Linked DNA regions of Drosophila melanogaster. The protein of the gene in region 4 interacts with the protein of the main gene of each other region in a pairwise test. Each region holds a gene or a part of one and is shown on either strand. Other genes may lie near its edges.

Evidence for each region.
Region 1: the proteins of CG6569 (region 4) and TwdlG interact in a two-hybrid assay, tested with the Drosophila melanogaster proteins (one large-scale study listed by BioGRID).
Region 2: the proteins of CG6569 (region 4) and bdwf interact in a two-hybrid assay, tested with the Drosophila melanogaster proteins (one large-scale study listed by BioGRID).
Region 3: the proteins of CG6569 (region 4) and CG12877 interact in a two-hybrid assay, tested with the Drosophila melanogaster proteins (one large-scale study listed by BioGRID).

Annotation. Positions count from the first base shown.
Region 1 is NT_033777.3:4,248,122-4,253,418, forward strand, and holds TwdlG (TweedleG), read right to left. Parts: upstream 3,221-5,297; 5' UTR 2,614-3,220; intron 2,394-2,613; 5' UTR 1,801-2,393; coding exon 1,786-1,800; intron 1,725-1,785; coding exon 1,070-1,724; intron 897-1,069; coding exon 730-896; 3' UTR 602-729; downstream 1-601. Other genes in the region: TwdlF (TweedleF), read left to right, coding at 1-63; CG14644 (uncharacterized protein), read right to left, coding at 3,857-4,121, 4,177-4,693, 4,755-4,854.
Region 2 is NT_033777.3:17,041,202-17,045,087, reverse strand, and holds bdwf (bedwarfed), read left to right. Parts: upstream 1-1,951; 5' UTR 1,952-2,025; coding exon 2,026-2,418; intron 2,419-2,474; coding exon 2,475-3,050; 3' UTR 3,051-3,192; downstream 3,193-3,886. Other genes in the region: Patr-1 (protein associated with topo II related - 1), read right to left, coding at 1-185, 416-1,229, 1,400-1,438; Trm7-32 (tRNA methyltransferase 7-32), read right to left, coding at 3,221-3,325, 3,383-3,886.
Region 3 is NT_033777.3:27,705,257-27,711,652, reverse strand, and holds CG12877 (uncharacterized protein), read right to left. Parts: upstream 4,554-6,396; 5' UTR 4,444-4,553; coding exon 4,335-4,443; intron 4,277-4,334; coding exon 2,855-4,276; intron 2,797-2,854; coding exon 2,286-2,796; intron 2,028-2,285; coding exon 1,434-2,027; intron 1,377-1,433; coding exon 1,117-1,376; intron 1,040-1,116; coding exon 960-1,039; 3' UTR 796-959; downstream 1-795. Other genes in the region: CROT (carnitine O-octanoyltransferase), read left to right, coding at 5,812-6,189, 6,266-6,396.
Region 4 is NT_033777.3:21,865,672-21,870,204, reverse strand, and holds CG6569 (uncharacterized protein), read left to right. Parts: upstream 1-2,285; 5' UTR 2,286-2,361; coding exon 2,362-2,396; exon of another isoform or gene 2,397-2,460; coding exon 2,461-2,800; intron 2,801-2,850; coding exon of another isoform or gene 2,851-2,853; exon of another isoform or gene 2,854-2,878; coding exon of another isoform or gene 2,879-2,911; exon of another isoform or gene 2,912-2,940; coding exon 2,941-3,438; intron 3,439-3,495; coding exon 3,496-3,695; intron 3,696-3,754; coding exon 3,755-3,962; 3' UTR 3,963-4,032; downstream 4,033-4,533. Other genes in the region: CG31174 (uncharacterized protein), read left to right, coding at 691-986, 1,044-1,166, 1,223-1,415; lsn (larsen), read right to left, coding at 4,033-4,180, 4,244-4,390, 4,458-4,533.

The DNA.
Region 1 (5,297 bases), about 18 Mb from region 4:
TCCACCTCCTCATTCGCTCCCTCGGCGCCATCAAGGAAGTATGTGCCGGCAAAGACTTTTTAAAAAGTTGTAGTAAGAATCCTATCGCTTTCATTGTTTTATATCAACCATCATACTGTAGTAAATTTTAATTTATTTTTAATGCAAAAGTCGAAAGTCGAAAGAAATATAAAAAAATTTAAATCGAAACCCAAAAAGCCTTCTGTTTCTAGTACTCGTTTTTAAGTTTAATCCTTTTAATATTTTAGATAGGTTTTGTTTTAGGATTTGGAATTAATCTTTCATTTAAGGCATAGCTTGAGTTTAATGTTTCTTATGAAAACGCTGTTTATTTTTATCACAAAAATGTTTCAATGGGCTAAGAGACTATGACAATGACTTCTTTCTCGCAAGAAAGTTTGGACCATCTCTTTTGGCATTAAGCCAACAGCCATAATAATCAAGTTTTCGTGTGGCTTAATCGTTGTTATGTAAGTCAAATCACATGCTAATTTATGCGACCGGTTTTCGGCTTGGATGGCTGTCATTGGACTAATGGATGTGGTAACATGGTCCATAGAAAACTATTTTGTTACTTTGAAGTATTGAAACTCGATTTCATATTTGAATATGGCTGCAGAGTCGCTTTCTATCATAAGGCGGAGCTCAAAATATGAACTTTATTTAACTAAATGTGTAAATTACAAGAGTTCAAGTCTTAAAATTACGACAGTGGCCTTGGAGTTGTACCTAAGCACGCAGATTAGTTGGCAAGTAGCTGTTTGGCAAGGAGCCAGAAAACTGTCCGGATGAAATTCCGTTGTTGCGCTGGTTGTCCAGTACGCCAATCACGGATGTAACGGGTGCAACTCCCTCGTCAGAAACCTGTGATGTTCCGCCAAGCTGGTCATATTGAGCTAAAAGAAGTAAATCGGTTAAAAATCGGGTAATAAAAATTTGGACAAGCCAGATTAATTGGTCGATAGACATTTCTATGAAGCTTGCAAATCGAAACATTTGAGGTCTGTTGCATACTGATGAGGTCTTCAAGTGTGTCTCATAGCATCTGCTCGATGCGGGTGTTGCTCACCTTGAATGGTACGTTGCGCATGCGCAGCTTCCTCCTGGGTCTTGTATTTGATGAAAAATACCTCTGGCTTGCTGGGCTGCTTCGGCGCGATTTCCTCGATGGCAGTCTGGAGATCTAGTGGGTCCGGCTTCTTGGTCAGCACATAGATGATGGTCTTCTCCTCCACAGGAGCCTGTTTGATGCGCAACGCCGCCTTCGAGACACTGGTCGTCGGTGCCTTGATGAAAACTATGCGATAATGCTTGCGCGGAGGCGCGGGCGGAAGGACGGGCTGAGGGTAGCGGTCCTCGGGCTCTTCTGCTGGTGGCACATGGACGTAGATGTCCTTGGAGACGAGGTGCTGCTGCTGAGGCTGATGTGCCTGGGGCAGCGCATTGTACGCCGAATTTGGGCCGAACTGCGTCGCCTGCTGTTGGTAAGCGGAGGCCTGGTTTTGATTTGAGTAAGATGCGAGCCCTTCTCCTCCGGTCAGGACCTGCTGCAACTTTGGAGCCTGGAGTGCCTGCTGAAGGATCGTCTGCTCCGCAAGGGTGGCAAACTGCGGAATAGAAGGCAGATGGAGTTGACCAGCTTGCGCCGACGATTGAAGCTGTTGCTGGGCTTGGTAGTTGTATCCTTGAGGAATGCCGGCTGCAAGTCCTAGGAGGCACGGCACCTATAAAACTAAGTCATTACTATTGGTGCTTGGACACCTCGGCTGACACTAGAGGGCTTACAATGAAGAAATGCATTTCCGATTGAGTTGAAGACACCGGTCCCTTGGCAATCAAAATTCAACTAAATGCTAATCACTAGCCGCCCAGACTTTTATGTCGCTGACTCGATAATGTCGGTACGAAAAAGTTGTGTCCGCAACGCAAAGTTTAAATGAAACTGAAACCACAAACGCTCAAGCCGCACGAAAACTCGCTTGCGTTTTCATACAACCTTGAGGTAACGGTAACTTTTTGGGAACTCACCCAAAACCCTAAAGCTCTCGAGCTTCAACTTAGGGCCAAGTCGAAAGCGTCGTCTAGTTGGAAGTCTTGTGCGATGGACACATACAAATGTGGAGATTAGTTTGGCACATCCATTTCTCTAGCTTTTGAGGTGATCATGATGGTGGATATTTGTTGCTGTTGATGGCCGATCATAATTGACGAACCTTTGCAACGCAAAATCTCGAATCGCAACTTGCATTGATCACACAATAGTCTCATTTAAAATGGCGTCTACCTGGAAAACTTTCGCTTTTTCACTATGTCTTAATGAATTTCAGAAATTGCTTTGGTTTCCGATGACCCAATTATTAAATTGTAATTGGTACATAGTTGCACAATTTGATCTATAACATAATATGTATTTTCTGTATTATATTTTCAGCATTTAGCTGACGAAAAAAGGCAAGTCCTAATGCTTAAATCAATGTCCGTCATAGCATGGGTCATAATTGGGGGCCCTGTTGGGCCAGGTAAGTGGTGCTGACGATTTGATATATGACTGGAGATTTATCAAAACACAAATGGCAGTGCGGGCCAAGATGAAGCACAATCGCTTCAAATTACCGTGTGGCGTGCGTTTCTTCCCCGATCCGTTACGAGTACGCAAATACTGCGGCATCACACTTATGATCGACTTATTATGCAAGCCACCCGTTCACACGAGCTGTGGCGCCCCCGCAATCAGCAAATTGTGGGCATCGGCAACTCCTGGTGCTTTTCTCCGACCTAATCTTGCAGACAAAAGATAAGAGCGTCTTGGCCCACGGAGTTACGCAATGGTATCTACACTGAGTCCGCGGCTTTTTGGCGCACTCTTTGGATACGCCGCAGAAATGTACTTCGTTTACAGCTCTTCCCTGTTCAAATTTCAAACTTCATTAATTTTTATTTCATGGCGTTTCGTGTGTCGGCTATTTGCATGGCCAAGGCTTATGGCGCCTACATTAGGATTGAATTAAATAATTAAAATATAGAAATACCAAAAACAATCAATAATAAGTGGGCACAGGTCATCCGCAGAAAATGATTGCTGATTGCTTAATGTTGGACATCCAGTCGAGTGATTTTCTTTAAGCCCAGGTAAAATAACATTGAATAATTTTGCACACTTATATTATTGATTATAAATTTGAATTCCTTTTCAAGCGCACGATCTGACTGGTTTTGTGTTATTAGATTGAAAATATGTTGAAATATATATGTAAGTACAAACTGCAAATCCAAAAGCTCATATTAAACTCGGCAAAGTTTTTTCTGGGAGTTGGTTTAGACATCGAATGAAATAGCTTTCTTTGACAAAAGCTTTGGAGATTTCTAACTGACAGCAGCGAAGTCCCGGGGCAAATATTGGACATTATTTGGTCTTTTTAAAATGAAATATAAACAGCAAATAGTAAATACTACGACAGTGACGTCGTATAGTACGTGTAATCTTTTGAGTTTGTGGCTAATAACGAGCCTTGAGTTGAAAATAGTATTGTATCAATACAATACACCTTGACCAAATAAATACAGCATCTGAAATTTGTACATCCGGCAAGCAATTATCGAAGTTACGGTTTTTTTTTTGCTTATTTAAAGCAAAGTACTGGGGCATTTCCCCTTATCTGCTAGAAAATATCGATTTAATTTACTGTAAGATGGTAGTATGCTTCTAATATATGGTGTTAAACGATTTCGAAACTGTGTGTCCAGAGAAATGTTTCGGATTGGGTCCCCTCTTCAGATGAACTAAATTCTATTTAATAGGTAAGTAATTTTTATATGGAACGTACATAAAAACGGAACGCATTTTCTGAATTCAATCCTACTTCATCAAATTCCTCACAATGTCTACAGGAAAAGGAAAGACGTAGGACCGGGTGTCATCATTGCAGATGGAGTTCAGTGTTTGCAAGTACCGTAGCTGCAGGGCTATGGGGTTGGTCTCCATTATGTCGGCAGCCTCCTTCAGAGCAGTTACCGCATCTCGCTCCCCCTGCGCCGCGGCCACCTTGGCCTTGGCCTCACGCATCGCCTCCTGTTCCACAGCCAGGGCGCGCTTCAGTTGATCAGGCATGAAGATCTCCTTGCTGCCGAATATATCATAACGCATTATTGATCCATTGTAAGACAAAAAGTACTTACATCTCGACCCGTTCCACGCGTATGCCCCAGGGCTCTGTGGAGTTGTACAATATACCCTCTATTTGGTTGGAGAGGTACTCCTTGGACGAGAGCAAATCCATTAGCTTGTGGGTGCCGGCCACGTTACGCAGCGTGGTCATTGCTAGCTTCTCGGTCGCCTCCTCCGGATCGTATACTTGCAGCATGGCGTCGAATGGGCTCTTGATGCTGTAGTACACCACTCCGTCGATGCTGATCGTCACCATGTCACGAGTGAGGATTTCCTGTCTATGTAGGTCAAATGACCTGGTACGTATGTCCACAACAGCGAGGTCATCAATGCAGGGCACGAGAAAGATGACGCCTGGCCCCCTCGGGGGCTTAGGGCGCAGGCGACCCAGGCGCAGGATTACCGCTCGCTCGTACTCCGACATTACCCTGAGACAGCAGAATAGGGACCACGGCAGGCAAAGGACTATCAGAATCATGGACAGCACAAACAACGTTTTCTCCGCACAAGTTGGTGGAACATTCTCACCTATGAAATCGCAAATTGCTGTAGTCCCTCGGAATATCTTAGCTTTTATTGGGGGATTTACTTGTTTTTACATTACGCTGAGGTAACAGTGATTCATCGTGGAACACGTTTACCGAGGAGCTCTGAGCAAGCAAAGCAGGGGTCGTCGGATTATTGTCCATTACATTAGATTTAGAAGATCGTGTAAGGTGACAGTGTATTCAACTACGACTATAGATAACAAAAACTCAAATACAGTTTTGATAAAAGCATTATGGGTAGTTTATGTGTGAAAAGAATCCGTTTGGGTTTTAATGGGAAGCGGAGGCTTATATGTTATATATATATATGCTTATATGCTTATATATGTCGACTATCAGATACCTGTTACTTAAGTGTTTTTTCTTTACTTTGTTGGCTTGTGCTTATCTGCAGAAAAGAAATTATACATAAATCAGAAAAAAGAAATTGTTGACTTGCGAGCATTTATTGGTTTGTTGGTTAGAGTAAAAATTTTTAAATAAATAAAATTAAAACTTTTTTAAAAATAACCAAAATATTATTCGTATATCAAAAGTAGGCAGCTTGTGGACGTTGAAGTGGGCGTTGCCCTTTTCTTGAATTA
Region 2 (3,886 bases), 4.8 Mb from region 4:
CTGGGGCAATTGCGGAATATTCCCGGGCAGACCTTGCGGGTAAATAAATCCGGGCGGCACTCGGTTGCCACCAATACCGTTTAGTTGTTGCTGCGACGATGGCGTGGGCAGTAGCTCGGGTCCGGGGAAACCCAAATTTGGCCTCGGTGGAGAGGTGTGCGGCGTGCCCAAGAAGCCAGGGGGTACTGCAATGAATTGTTAAATGGTGTTATTTTCATATGTCGCAGAAATCTATCAGGGACTTGAAGTTTGTTCCTTAAATGGTTAAATCTGTCTTAAAAATTGTCCCCAAAAATAGATTCGTAAGAAATAAATATTTTTAGGAATTATACTTTTTGTTGGACATGTTTTCTTTTTAAATACTGAGGCCTGTTTTTGTATGCATCAATACTTTTTAGTTTTAATATATAATTACCCTTGTGCTGCGCTTGTTGTGGCGGCTGCTGCTGCGACTGTTGTTTCTGATGATGCTGCTGCTGCAACATCTGTTGCTGCAACATGGTTGGTGTAGGCACCTGCTGCCTGTTACCCAGACTAAAATCATCAAACATTTTGCGTTCCGCCTGTTGCTGGCTCTGCTGCTGTTGTTTCGGAATGGCCTGCTGAATGATCATATTGCGCTCTATATCCTCGAGAGTTGTAATTTTTGGAAAAGGCTGTGGATTCAGTGCAAAGTTGGCATTCGCTTCCTGCGGTGGCTTCATTTGTTGTGGTTGGTGCTGCTGATGTTGCTGCTGCTGTGGCTTGAAGGCGCTGCGCATAGGCTCGCGGAACAAATGTTGGTTGTTGGGAAACGGCTGTGATCCCCAGACCCCGGAGTCCAGCTTAATGCGGTTGCTCAGCCCACCGGCTTCGCTATCAGTGGTGAAAGAGGACAGGTCCATGTCGTCCAACTTCATGGAGGAAATGTTTAGCTCCAAGTCCGAGTCCCCTATGTGACGAGACTGTCGGAAGGGGGCATTCAAAGGGGCCGGAGTGGAGCCGCTTGAAGAGGGCGCCGATGATAGCGGATTAGCGTGTCGCAGGAAGGCACCATTTCCCTGATCGGCAAAATCCGTATTTCCACTAGATTCCGCGGGTCGCTTCCGCACCCTTTCGCCATTCCCGCCCAGGCGTACCATCGTCTCATGGGCTTCCTCCCAGTCGCCATTTATAGCGGATCCAAAGGTTTCGTCATTGAGGGCATCGTATTCCGCCTCGACGATGCGTCCATCGCCACCATCTTCGTCCTGGAGAAACAATTGAAGCAAGTAAATTAGACATTCCTACTTTTTCTGCCCCCGGTGGCCTTCGATGCCCCCTTATTTGCCGAGTGAAAAGTGTGCGTTGGGCATTTGCCGACCCCTGTGCGGCCCGCTATCCCGGATATTGCAGCCGCAATGTCGGGACCGCTGCTTACCGGTAGATTCGTGTCAAAGCCGAAAAACGAGTCATCCATGGCGATAAATCTATTGCTTTACAAAAAATTATCATGACTTGTCAGTGACAAGTTGTCACCTCAGCAGTATAGCTGTCAAAATATCGATGGTACTATCGATAGTCTGACGTCGATGGTTTTCTGACTATCGCCACAATACATCAATTTCGCTCGCATATAAATATTATCATATTACAAATGTTGGAATTAACATGCAAATTTAAAATATATATTTTTTTCATACGTTTTTTTTCAATAGGTGAACGACTGAAGATTTGTCTAAATTTATAAGTTTGCATTTTGCTACAGTGATGTTAGAAAAAAATGATGATTTAACCACTGCCAAATTTCGTATGTTGCATATTTATTTATTCAGTTTGGGACTTACCACGACTGGTTAATAAGTCAACAACATTAGATTTTACTGATCAATGAAAAATCTGCCCTAATTAAGGTGCATTTGCACTCCTTCAATGTATTCGATATTTTGAACTAGTTCGAAACTTGAAATCAGCGCCCGCAAGCTCATCCCTAAATTACTAGTTCTTGAACTATTGCTTTGGACGGAACTACGAGCCTGTTTCCTTTTCCAAAACAACTTAGTCGAAATGAAGCGGAAAACGAGCGAGATCTGGTGCTTTTTCCGGGCGGTGGACGACACGTTTGCGGTGTGTAATATCTGCAAGGCGAAGCTCTCTTACAAGACGACCACCACGAATCTAAGCAAGCACATGAACAGGATGCACCCCACATCGGGACTCAACCGGAACTCCAAGTACAAATTCCAGCCGCAGACCACCATCGCCATCGACCGGAACAAAGCCAAGCCGCGCAACTCAACGCAAGAGCTGATATTGTTAGAATTCGTGAAGAAACATCCGCGTCTGCTTCAGAATCCGACGTGGGAAACACGGGGCAATCTGGAGTCGCTGTGGGAGGAACTGTCATCCGAACTTAATAGCCACGGTCCGCCGCGAAAAGATATAGCCACCTGGAGAAGGGTATTCTAACTTACTTTTTTTCTAACCGCTTGCATTATAAGTTGATTTGTTTGTAGGCCTTAAAGGACTGGAAGAGGTTTATCCTGAGAAAGGTGGAAAAGAATGAGATGCAGAACATGCCTTTTGGCACCAGTCTTACTTCGTCGGAGGAAACAATAGCCACACTGTGTAGATTAAACGAGGATGTAAGTCAGATTATTATGAAGGTCTCCGACGATGAAATGCATGAGAATTCCACCACGGAATTTGATGTGGACGAAGTAGAGGATGTGGTCCCGGAAGAAGATGGTGGCGCCCTTCAGACTTCCGCCGAGTACGTTTACGAACCGGAGGAGAACAAAACGGACATTGACCCGCTTTACCTGCAATCTAACAAACGGGCCGCATTGGCCAGCAGTCGACTGGCGGAGGAGGAGACCACACTGCTTGACAAGATTAGCAATAACCTAGAAATGGTGCACGATACCGCCAACAGCGTTCAACTTGCACTCAATGAATTTTTTGTCCTGTACAAGCAGAAGCTGTACGAGGACAAGCGACATCACTTGGCAATTGAACAGTTAATGGCTGAGAAAATAGAACTGAAAAAGAAACTATTGGAAATCGAGCAAAAAAAGCTGTCGCTCAAATAACGGGATATGCACAAAATTAAGTAATATCTTGGTAGTCTTAATAACCTAATCTTTAAATAATCTAAGTTATTCAATATTTTGATTAATTTTATCACATTTCTTTTAGCTTGGCCCAAGCCCACTTAATATACAAATTTAATTTAATTTTTTTGGTTTTATTTTATAAATATTTAGATAATATGGCGTTGTTCATCATAGACTTGCTTTAGAATCTCTTTAAATTCCAGGGGATAAGATGCGTCGTCCATAACAGCATCGTAAACATACTCTAAATTCTGTGGGAAAGATGGTTGAATAAAAAAACAAAGCAAAGTATTAGGCACATCACTTACTGATTTGGATTCATCTGAGGAGGAAGTCTTGCCCTCTTCGGGATCACTCAACCCATTTAAGTCTCCACAGGCTATAAAAGGAACTAGACGACGGTTTACTTCCGACCCTGTTTTCTGTGCCAGTAGCCGTATATCATCGCGAGCAGGGTTAATCACTTGAGGAATGTAGCCCTCGGGAAGGCAAAAATCGGAGCAAACCACAAAAGCTTCAATGCTCGAAGGACGCGAACTCGGTGGCTTGTAGATGTCGAATTTTTTGAAAAATATCTGCATCTGGGAGCTCAATAGCGATGTGGCATTTCCCTTAAAAATCTTGGCCACAAAAGTTCCGCCAGTTTCCAGCACACAGGTGGCAATGCTGAGAGCAGCCACAAGTAACTGGTGCTGCATGTACTCGTCCATTTCATGGACCCCGGTGACATCGGGGGCTCCATCGCAGACCACCAGCTGGGCTTTTTCATTTCCACCAAAGTGACCGATGATTGCTTCGGCGGTCGACTGCTT
Region 3 (6,396 bases), 5.8 Mb from region 4:
CATACTGGGCCACATATGCACATTGTCATTGCCAAGTAGCACTAATATTATTTACTTTTCGTTAGGTTGTGTTGTGCCAGCTCAATAGATAAACACGTGTCGCCATCAGCCATTTCCCGCAAGGATTGGGGTTTGGGATCCCACTTAATGCCTATGGCTCCTCCTGTCATTCGGTGGAGCTGGAGCTGGCCGGGGGCAACAATTATGCCGAATTAAGTGCTGAAACTTTGGCTGCATTCTCAATAAGCCAAACTTTTACCGGAACGCACAGAACGGAAAATTATAAAACGTTAAAATTGAAAAATCATGCGCCAGTGAGGAGCAACCAGAAGCCAATATCCAGATGGTGCCCACGGCCAGCAGACGAGGCCGAGTATAATTGAAAAATATAAAGTATCGCCGCAATCTGATTAAAATTACATTTAAATAATAACAACAAAAACAAGGCGGCCAACCTGGGGGCGGGACGAGGGCAGCGGCGAATATTCTGTGATGTGCGTCAGGCACGAAACTTGCAATTACAGTTTGTAACGCGGTGGCAGGTAAAAAACTTTACAAAACTTTCCAATTGCTTTTCATTGAATTGTTATCGATAGTGAAGAGAATGGAAAAAACGCAAGGAAAAATGGGCAAGGCAAAAATAGAGAAAAATGAACAAATATACCTGGTTGAAGGCTCGAGGTAAGAAATTCTTCAAAGGACTCGCCAAATCCGTAGCGTACTGTACAGCGTTCTTTAAGTTCCATGTGCCACACTTCAATCACTTTAAATTGGCATTTAAAGCAAGCTTTACTTATTTTTCGCTGTCATCGCTTGGTGATATATTTATACAGTTTGATTTTACATAATATGGTTAGCTTAAAGGCTAAGGCTTTGATTTTTGATGGGCATGATATACATATTAACAGATGTACGTAATGCTTTTGAACTGAATGCTTGCGATGGTGCGTGATAGCAGCTCAACTGATTTTGTTGCGCAGATAATACTTGATGAGCTGAATGCACACCTCAGCATCCTCGGCACTGTCGTGGCCAGCCTCTGTGGAAGAAGGAAATATAATAATTATAATAAACTTCTTACGTCAAGTGATAAAGTAAAAGACTAGACACACTCACCGCTCTCCTGTATAATCCGCTTTAGGTTTTCAATGCACAGTGTTTTCAGAGCTCGCTTCTTTGGCGGTCCCATCTTGTGGGGAAACAGCACCGATGTGTCCACCACAACGTCGTGAATGAGTTTGAGTGCCTTCAAATCGCTCTCCAGACTGTGGCCAACGAGCACGGTTTTGGCATGGAACATGGACATCAGCACCGCCTGAACGTCGCGTATGGTACGCGTCTCATTGGAGAGCATCGCCTCCGTGATGCCCGAGTAGCTGAAGTCAGAGTATTGCAGATTAATACGAAACAACCGAAAAGCTACATTCACCCACGTCGTATTGTAGTCCACAATCTGGTTGTCCGGCTTGACAAGAGCATCGTAAACGCTGCGTCCATTTATGTCCACCACCGTAACGCGGGTTAGCTCTATTCCGTGTGTGGTATAACACATCTCGCAATCCAGTGCATATATGTCCTTCTTAGTGGGCACAAATTCCTCACCCCGTTCGATCGTCTTCACGAAACAGGTGAGCTTTTCCGGATCGTAATAGTCGCTGACGTGGTAGTTGGCATAGGTGCAGCCTGGAGTGCCCGCCGGCTGCTGGCAGCAGCGATGCTGGTGGTCCGTGAATCCTCGTCGATATCCCGTGCTTTTCGGATGGTAGTTGCACATGTCAAAGCTCTGGTGCTCGTATATGTCCAAGCTGAATACCTTGCCGCAGCGGGAACAGTAGCGCTCTTTCTGGTTGGGACGACGGTTGGGGCGGCAGGCGCGTATCACTGCGGATCCGCGCTTATCGCCCGGACGCGGATATCCGTTCTCCACCAGCTGCTCTTCAGTCAGGCGAAGATCGAATACCATTTTGTAAGCTTTCTCGGCGTCTAAAGCATCGAAAGGTTCGCCATTGCCCAAGGAGCTCAGTTTTCTGCAATAGATATATATTTAATGTTTGTTAGGGTAAAGATATCAAAAACTTTTTATATGCAATTGAAATGTTAGAAATACGTACAAATGTCATAAAAGTTAACATTCATGACTTCCAGGAAGAAATGTGAAGTCATAAAGAGAAATTATGCTTATGTTTACGTTTATGCTTGTGGCCAGTGGCAGTATTTACAATTAAGCGAATTTCATCTTATAATGTGCACATAGAGAATAACTATAGTTTAGTATACAAACCCACCCCTTTTTCTCTACGCTCCAGGATGTGGTGAGCGCCCGCTTGCCGCCCAGCATCATCTCGTGCGACACAGTCTTGCAGGCTACGCTCGGCTTGTTTCCCGCCTCTAAGGCCTCCTTGCGGAGCTTGTTAATCGCCAGCATGCAGCTGTTCTTGTAGATGGCAGGCGTGTTGCACTTCTTAAAGACGGTCAACTCCTCCACCTGGGCGCGCTCCCAGGCATCTGCCAGCTGCGGATAGATGACGGTGCAGTGCCTTACCATCATCTCATAATACTGAATGCGCACGTTGTATGATATCTTGGAGCTGCTGGGATCTAGGACGGTTGGCTTCTCCGCGTTGGACACAGGAGCCGCTTTGTCTAGCGCAGCAGTGGGCTTGTGAGCCACACGGCCGGCGCCCTTGAATGATTGTGCAGGCGTAAAGGCTGGCTTCTTCTCGGCCTGCAGCTCCTCGATCTTTTTTTTGGCCCGAGCGATGGCCACAATGTTGGCCACAGGTGCTATGCTGCGAGCTGGTAACCAAAAATATTTGAATTTGAATTATTATATATTCCAAAGTGGTATGCTCACCTGATCGCACTGGTGGGGTCAGAGCACTTCGCGAAATAAGTGGCGTGAGGTTGGAGTTGACCTTGGCCTGACGGAGCTCCTCCTGCGCTTGGCGCACCCGCTCCTGTGCCTGACGTACCTGCTCCGCTGAGGCTTCGGCTTGTAGCTTCTCCTGGCGCCGCAGCTCCGCGCGGCGGTTGAAGATCGCCTGCATGGCATTACGGACGTGATTGGGTTTGCGCATCGCCGCCGAAGGAGCCAAATGAGGCGTGATCTTGTCAGCATTCTCGTGGGCCACCCGGCGCTTCTGCAGAGCCGCCGTGGCTGCCTCGGTGAAGGTATCAATGTCCGGAGAAGGAGCTTTGCGCTTGCGAGAACTCTCCGGGTTGGCATTGCCGCCTTCGTCCTTGTGCATCTGCGCAAATTTTTTTTCCATCTCGTCAAAAATCATTTCACACTGGCGTACAATTTCTCCTTCCGAGGTGTCTGCTTCAAAATCAAAGTCCATGTCATCCAGATCATCCATAGGTTCTGCTGGTGTCAGTACAGCTGCTTCAGTATCCTTATCCGCCTCCGGTTCGCTCTTTGAAGTGCCAGCGCTTTTGCTGGAAGACGAGCTCCTCTTAGTTTTGGACCGTGAACTCGAGGAACTAGATTTGTGATGATGGCTCTTCGAGGAGGATGATGAAGAACTGCTCTTGTGCCTGCTACTGGAACTTTTGTCGTCGCGGTGCTTATCGCTGCTGGATGACTTTTTGCTGGAAGAGGAGCTAGATGAAGACTTGTGCTTAGAGGAACTTGAGCTTGAAGTATTTCGCTCCTTGGAGCGCTCCTTGTCGCTGTGGGAGGACTTTCGCTTATCCCTATCATTTTTTTCCTTCTCTCTGTCCCTTTCCTTGCTCTTCTCTTTGTCTTTTTCCCGGTCCCGGTCCCGGTCCCGATCCCTGTCTTTGATCTTTTCCCTTTTCAGCTCTCTGATCTTCTTCTTTTCTATATCCCTTTCCCGCTCCTTGCTGGGCTTTCGATCCTTTTCGTGGCTATCCCTAGCATCCGTCAGTTGCGTATTCTCCTGGTCCTCCTCGTTTTCAGCTACCGTATCTATCTTCTGTTCTTCGTCGTTATTCTGGACTTGCTCCTCAATCTCCACCTGCATCTGCTCATCAATTTCCTTTTCGAGTACCGCCTGCCAATCGTCATATTCTTCGCCATTTGTAACAGATGGCTGGCCGGGCACATATTTGGGAGCACTGTCCACGGACGCCTCCTGCTTCTTCTTAGCCGGCGATGCGTCAAGAGCCGGCTTCTCCGGGTGGTACTCCAGATTGGACTTCTTCCGGGGCGCACATAGCGTGATCTGGGGCAGTGGAAGGGAGAGCAACTTGGGTGCCGGCTTGTACTTGGGCACGGGGGAAGGTTCTGCAGGTGGAGCGGCCTCCAATTCGTCTGTAAACCGAGAGTGGATAGAATTTGTTGCGAAATTAACTGGACGTAATTCACTCACCTTTGCGAGCATGCTTAAAGTGGCAAAAGGGGCGCTTGCAGGACGCCGCATCCTGGCCGTCAAAGTAAGGGCACAAGAAGCCCTTAAAGAGACCCGTGGATGGCAGCATTTCCACCTCTTGCTGGGATTAGAAATTTAATAAAGCCGCTTGAGAAAACAAGCGTCCCAAATTTCTTTCTATTCTTTCTGCCTGTCTCTTTCACTCATTTCGACAGATGTCAGCTGTTTCAGCTGCTGGCGGCGTTGCCAGATAGGCGTCAGCATGGATGCTATGAATGGATGCTAAGGAATTAAATTAAATAAATTTAAATAAGTTTTAAATATTTACAAAACATTGAATGACCTATTTAATTAATAATTGTAAACAATATTCGCATTTTGTTAACGGTTACAATGTACGTTTATGGCAGTTGATTGCATCAATCCGGGAGGATTATATCTTGCGGTACGATGTACAATGCTATGCGATGTTAATAAGAATAAGATGTACGTAATAAGAATGTGGTGACTAACGGTATAAACAAATGGTGTAAAAAGTCTGGCAACTCCTGCAAACAGCTGTTTGCTGTGCCAATTTCCTATAGGGTCTTCGCCGCTTGTAAACAAAAACGCAGCAGTATAATAATAAAAATAATTGTTTAACCTATAAAATTGTTTGCTTATCTAGCCTAATGAACTTGATAGCTGCGGAACCGTTTTAATTTCGATCGAGTGCATCGCAAACTGAAGTTCGGGCGCGACATTCAACTGCCGCCTCATCGAAGGTTTGTGTGGGTGTGTCTGCTGGAATATGTTATTAAAAAAGAAATTCATATAGAAATTCAAATGAAACCGGCCATTATCGGTGGCCGACTGTCTGCAATAGCAATGATTAGGGTGATATATTATCGCACTGAGTCAGTGGACGCGGGTGGCGGATCCCACGGTGCGATAATTCAAGTGCTCCCCCTCCGGCAAGGTTTGCTGTGATATGGAACCAACCTATGGATTCAGTCGTATAACGGCAGTCTGGCGCTTCAGTTGTCTCCGGCAAAAGTGAATTCCCCATCGAGTACAAAGGTCAGTGGGCTAGAAATTCGCCTATGATTTCACCAGTGCGCCGGGAGTATAAATATTTATAAAGCTCCCCAATCCGGACTTTGTCCAGCTTGAGGAGATTAGTGAAGATAGTCGTCTAGCTGCAGTCCAAGAAAGATTACGTTCAACTTGACGCATAATCCGCTTAGTTGCACATTAAGTGTTCTTAGTTGTGTGGTATTAATTTGCACACCATTTTAATGTTTAACCTATAAGATGAGATCAATTTATTTCCGATGTGAATGTACTCAGTAATGTATTGGGTGAACTTTGGACCTGACGAACGTAAAAGCGATTCCCGATATGATTATTGTACTAATCTGACTTAGGCCTATAGAAAACCACCACACGCGCAGACTGATATCAACGATTCCAACGTGTCCCCCGCAGCTAAACCACCATGGACCGGGCTAGTCTATATTTTATGAGCAAGGATGATAAGAACACCTTCGACTTCGACGAGACCTTACCTTCGCTCCCGCTGCCGGAGCTTAGGGACACCATGGAGCGCTACTACAGCTGCATCCAGCCATTCGGGACCAAGGAGGAGTTGGCCCAGGCCCGCAAGACTATTGATGAGTTCCAAAACGGAGTGGGAGCCCAGCTGCACGAACAGCTCAAGAAGCGGGCGGCCGGCATGAGGAACTGGCTGGGCACCTGGTGGGAGGACTACGGATATCACCTGATTCGGATGCCGCTGCTGCCCTACCAGCTCATGGTCATGCCCTCGCAATTGGAAATGGTGGGCGTGCCGGAGACACCGGAGTACATGCTGAAGGTGAGTGGACCCACACCCCAAGCTCTATAAGAACACAAAGTTTAAGATTGCCTAATTGACTGTATAATTTTCGAAGAGTCTGGCGCGCCACATTCACCACTCGCTGGAGTTTTGGGATCTGACTAGAAAGTCCAGCATCAAACCGCTCTCCTCGAACGGCGGTAAAATAAAGTACTCCTCCGCGCTGTACAAGCACTTCTTCTCCAC
Region 4 (4,533 bases):
TCGGGCAATCCGAACGCTTTTCTAAGCCATAGATGGCCAGTTATCATGTAAATTCAAAGTGTTATTTATACAGCTCTTGTGCGAGTCACACAGTGGGTTTGGTTTTTGGTGATAAGCCATGGGTTTCAAGCGAACCCATCGATAGCCGGAGCTTATCGGGTGGTGGTGGCTTATCAAACGGCCCATAAATGGAGCAGAAGCCACCGGCTGCTCGACGCCGGAACTCCGCGATACCAACAAATGGCGTCTATAGATTGCTACAAATGGCGACAACAATGCCACCAATTTGACCAGCAGCTCCAATGCTCGCCATGCTCGAAATGCGCAACAAATCCAAATTAATTCCCAATGGGCCGGTCAACAAAAGCCCCCCAGCCAGACCACTTGATAACTTCCCGATGGGCATGTGAAACTGATTAATGTGGCATTATAAATAGGACTCAAGTATGTGGTTGGGTCTTAATCGAAATTAGCTTACTTTGGGTAAAAATAAATTTATGGTATTTACGATAAATAAACAAATGCGCTTATTACTCGAACTGATTTACTTTGTGATCGAGAAACAAATGGAAACATGTTCCCTTTGCATTTAGTTTACTATCACCATTTAATTCAGTATAAATTTATCGAGTTATTGGTCTTAAAGCCAAGGATATAAAGTTTTAGGTTTTGGTTCAGAATCAGGACGATATGGACGACTTGAACGATGTCATCGCAAATTTGAGCATTAAATCCAAGAACTTTATAGATGAGGCTGCAAAATCATTAACCCCAACAATGGTGGGATTCAAAAGAGAACCTGAGCGAAATCAAAACTGTACCTACTTTATGCAGAATACCTGCCAGCTTTATCAAAACATTTCTAAATCCCATCCCAAGATTGAAAACAGTGTTAAATTCGATGAAGATTTTGTGATGCATATGGAACCTGAGATCAAGGTGGAATGCTCTGTTGATGATCCCAATAAAGAAGTTCAAATTTTGCTGTATGATCCTAAATCATTTACGTATAATATTTACATGAACATTTTTTTTTAACACAGAAAAAAGGAACGCTTGAAGCAGAAATATATGGAAGCTTTGAAGCTGGATGAAAACCTTGAAGCTAGAGTGAAACAATCGGCCATTGAATCCAATCCCGATATGGAGGAACAACAAGCTGAATTGTGAGATCATAACTTTATTTATGATAGCATTTACTTAACTTTATTGGCATTTATAGAAGAAAACTTCACAAGGATCAAGTGGAAATGTACAAAGGTGTGCAGGAAGAAATTATGGTTTCCTTCAAGAGAGACATGGATGATCTAATGCAACAGTATGAAGCTGAGTACTCGCGACTTAGTAAGGTCCACTCTAAGTGGGTAAATTCCGAGAATGATTCCACCAATAACTCAAACACTCATCAGCCTTAGTCATCGCTTAGGAATTTTTAAGATTTTAGCATTTTATTAGTGAAATCAAAACGTATTTATGTAGTTTCTTGGGTTTTAACATTTGACAATAAAAAATATTCAGTATATCAAATATTTTGTTTATTTTATACAGCTTTTTTATCACTTTTCCTTTGGCTTCAGCTCACTTAGTTCCGTCGCGCTCGGCCAGCAGATCCAGCATCACCTCGATCTTAAGATTACACATATTGTTCTCCTCCTCGAGGGCACGAAACTTCTTGTTCAGCCGGAGCATATCATCTACGTCACCCTTTCGGGTCGAATGCATCCAGATGCCGTCCGCAAAACGCAGCTCCTTGTTGCCCAGCGTTAGGGAAATCTGGCGGAAGTCATCCAGATCCTCGGTGGCCACCGGATGTCCTATATTGCAACGTCCCTGACGCACTGGAATCGGCTTCGACTCGAACTTCTTGTTGAAGAGCGGCATTGCAAACAACTGAAACGGAAAGTTGACCACATTTCGATTACATCCCCATTTGTTTGCCACTGCCCCGTTGCCCAGGACAACAGACACTTGTCAGGGGATCAGCGTTCGCGGCAGGACTCGTGCCAGGTTTTTAATGGCTAGTAAGACCGTATCCATATGTACCTGCTTGAAGGGTAGCGGCTGGCTGTCAGAGATTGACGAGGGGCAGCAAAAGGTTGCCAGTTGCATAAAATCGGTGAAATACAGAGAACTCCTTGCTGCACGCGGGGATACGGATGGATTTCTAAGCCAAACTGCCTTCAACAGGATTTTAAATGCCTGATAATTTAAAAGACAAAGCTTGCTTCATCGCAGAAACTCGTCTCATGTCAAACATAAACATTTTGTTTGGTTCATTGATGAAATTCTATACAAACACACAATAAACCCGATACACAACTCTGCTGTGAAAAATAATATGATTCCAAACACACAACAAATATGACACAACACGAAAATCAGCAAGCCATTCTCAGGTAGGAGAGCAAAGGAAAATTTGTCAACTAAAGTTAGTCAACGCGCAGCCAATTCACCATTTAGCAACTTTGTGCTGGAAATGTGTGAAGGAGTGGATCGACTGATGCGGGATCAGGCCGAACTGAAGGTTCACCTCAACGAAATTCTAAATGAGAACCGCCGGCTGGACATCGAATTGGCCAAATGCAGGAGCATCTTGGTTAGCGGCGATTACCAGGAGCTCAAGCATCGCCTTCAACTCAGCAACAAGGCTTTGGACGCGTCCAAGAAGCAGGTGGATGAGCTTATCAAGGAACGGAACAGCCTGAAAACCATGCATGACCTCTCCAAACAGACCATCGAAACCATGGAGATGGATCTTAAGAATTATCGCGTCCAATTGAAAATGTCTGGAGATGACCAGGTATTATTGCACTTCATCATTCCAATCCCGTATTGATTATCATATTATAGTAAGCTTTGACCAAATCGTATGTTTTAGGGACCAGAGACTAATGGAAAAATCCTAAAGTAAACTTCAACGTTTTCGGAATTCAATTTTAGGTCATACAGCGGTACTCGAAGATCGTCAAAGTGCTGGAGGCAAAAGTTGAGGACCAGCAGAAGGAGATACGCACGCAGGCGGAGACCATAAAGGCCCTGCACGATCACAAGCAGCACAGCGGATTGCAACTCCAGCAGCTGCATGCTCAACTGCAGGATAGCGAGCAGAGTCAATCCAAGGTGTCCATCCTGCAGAAGCAGCTTAAGGAGTACGAACTATCGCTGAGCCACACCCACAATTTGCTCATGGAGAGCACAAGACGGGAAACCGCCGCCATGCGCAAGCTCGAGGAGGCTATCATACTCAGCGAAGAGGCAAACAAGGAGAAAATAGATGCCACAAAGCTGGCCGAGACCTACAAGGAGGAGATGACCCACCTAGCCTCCAATATCGGTACCATAATGGATGAGGCCTCCACACGCGTCGACGTTGAAGTGGGCCATCTGAAGAATATGCTCAAGCAAAAGGACATTATAATTACCACCATAAAGGAGAAGGTAAAAGTCTATATTCGTATAATAATTATCACTTATAGTTACACTTACAAATTTTAGCTGAAAAAACTGGCTGTCGATCATAAGTCGGTGGTGCACATGCTGGAGACCCGGAGCAATCGCCTGGAGCAAAAGTACAAGGAGGTGCTGAAGCAGAACGATAAGCTGGAGGCCGAGTTGGAGGCAACTTGCCGGCGACTTGGCGAACTGGAGCGATCCGTTACTGAAGCTTACGGTGGGGATGCCGAAGATGCCAGGATGTGAGTATACAACATAGACAATTAATGACAAACATGATTATAAATCATAACGCTTTTAGAAAAATGTACTATAAGTCTCAAATGGATCGCTGCATAATGGATCACAAGAAAATGAAGGAGAAATACCGCGAGGGCATGGAGGACATCACGCAACGCTTCGAATCGGAAATTTACAAGTTAAGGGAGGAGAACTCCGTGCTGCTGGCGGAAAACGAACTGCTTAAGAGCGGTGCCGCAGGCGATAGCTCCAAGCAGACTTCACGCTGATTTTACGGTTGTACAAATATATATTTTATGATAACTCTCGTACATAATAAATTAGTTCTACGAGATCACACTATGTGGCGGCCGTTGTCTGTGCGTTTCGACCGGGAAACAAACTGGGAAACCAATAGGCTGGCTCATCGCCCGCCTGCTTGTCAATCCAACAGAGACCTTCGCCGAGCACCTTGTCCAGTGACTGTTGAGCACGATAGTCGGTCCAGCTGAGAACGGATAACACGGAAATCAAAGGGATATTCAGTTGAAAGTACAAGTGAAATTCTTACCCCAAATCCTTGATCAGCTGACTCTGCGTAACACAGCCTTGTTCGGTATTGGATGCGGCATTCAGTATGTTGGTCTCCTCCATGCTCAGCTCTCCGGGAATGGACTGAACTATGTACTTGCCCTTGCCCAGCTTGTGAACCACAAAGCTGAAGGTACGTTATGGAAAACGAGAAACTTGTGATATTGAATGCAAGCAGAGGTAATGACCCATACCCGTTGCCAAAAATGCTCAATTTCTTAGCGGCCATTAGGATGTCCTCCTTGGTGATCTCCTGGTGCACTGAACTCT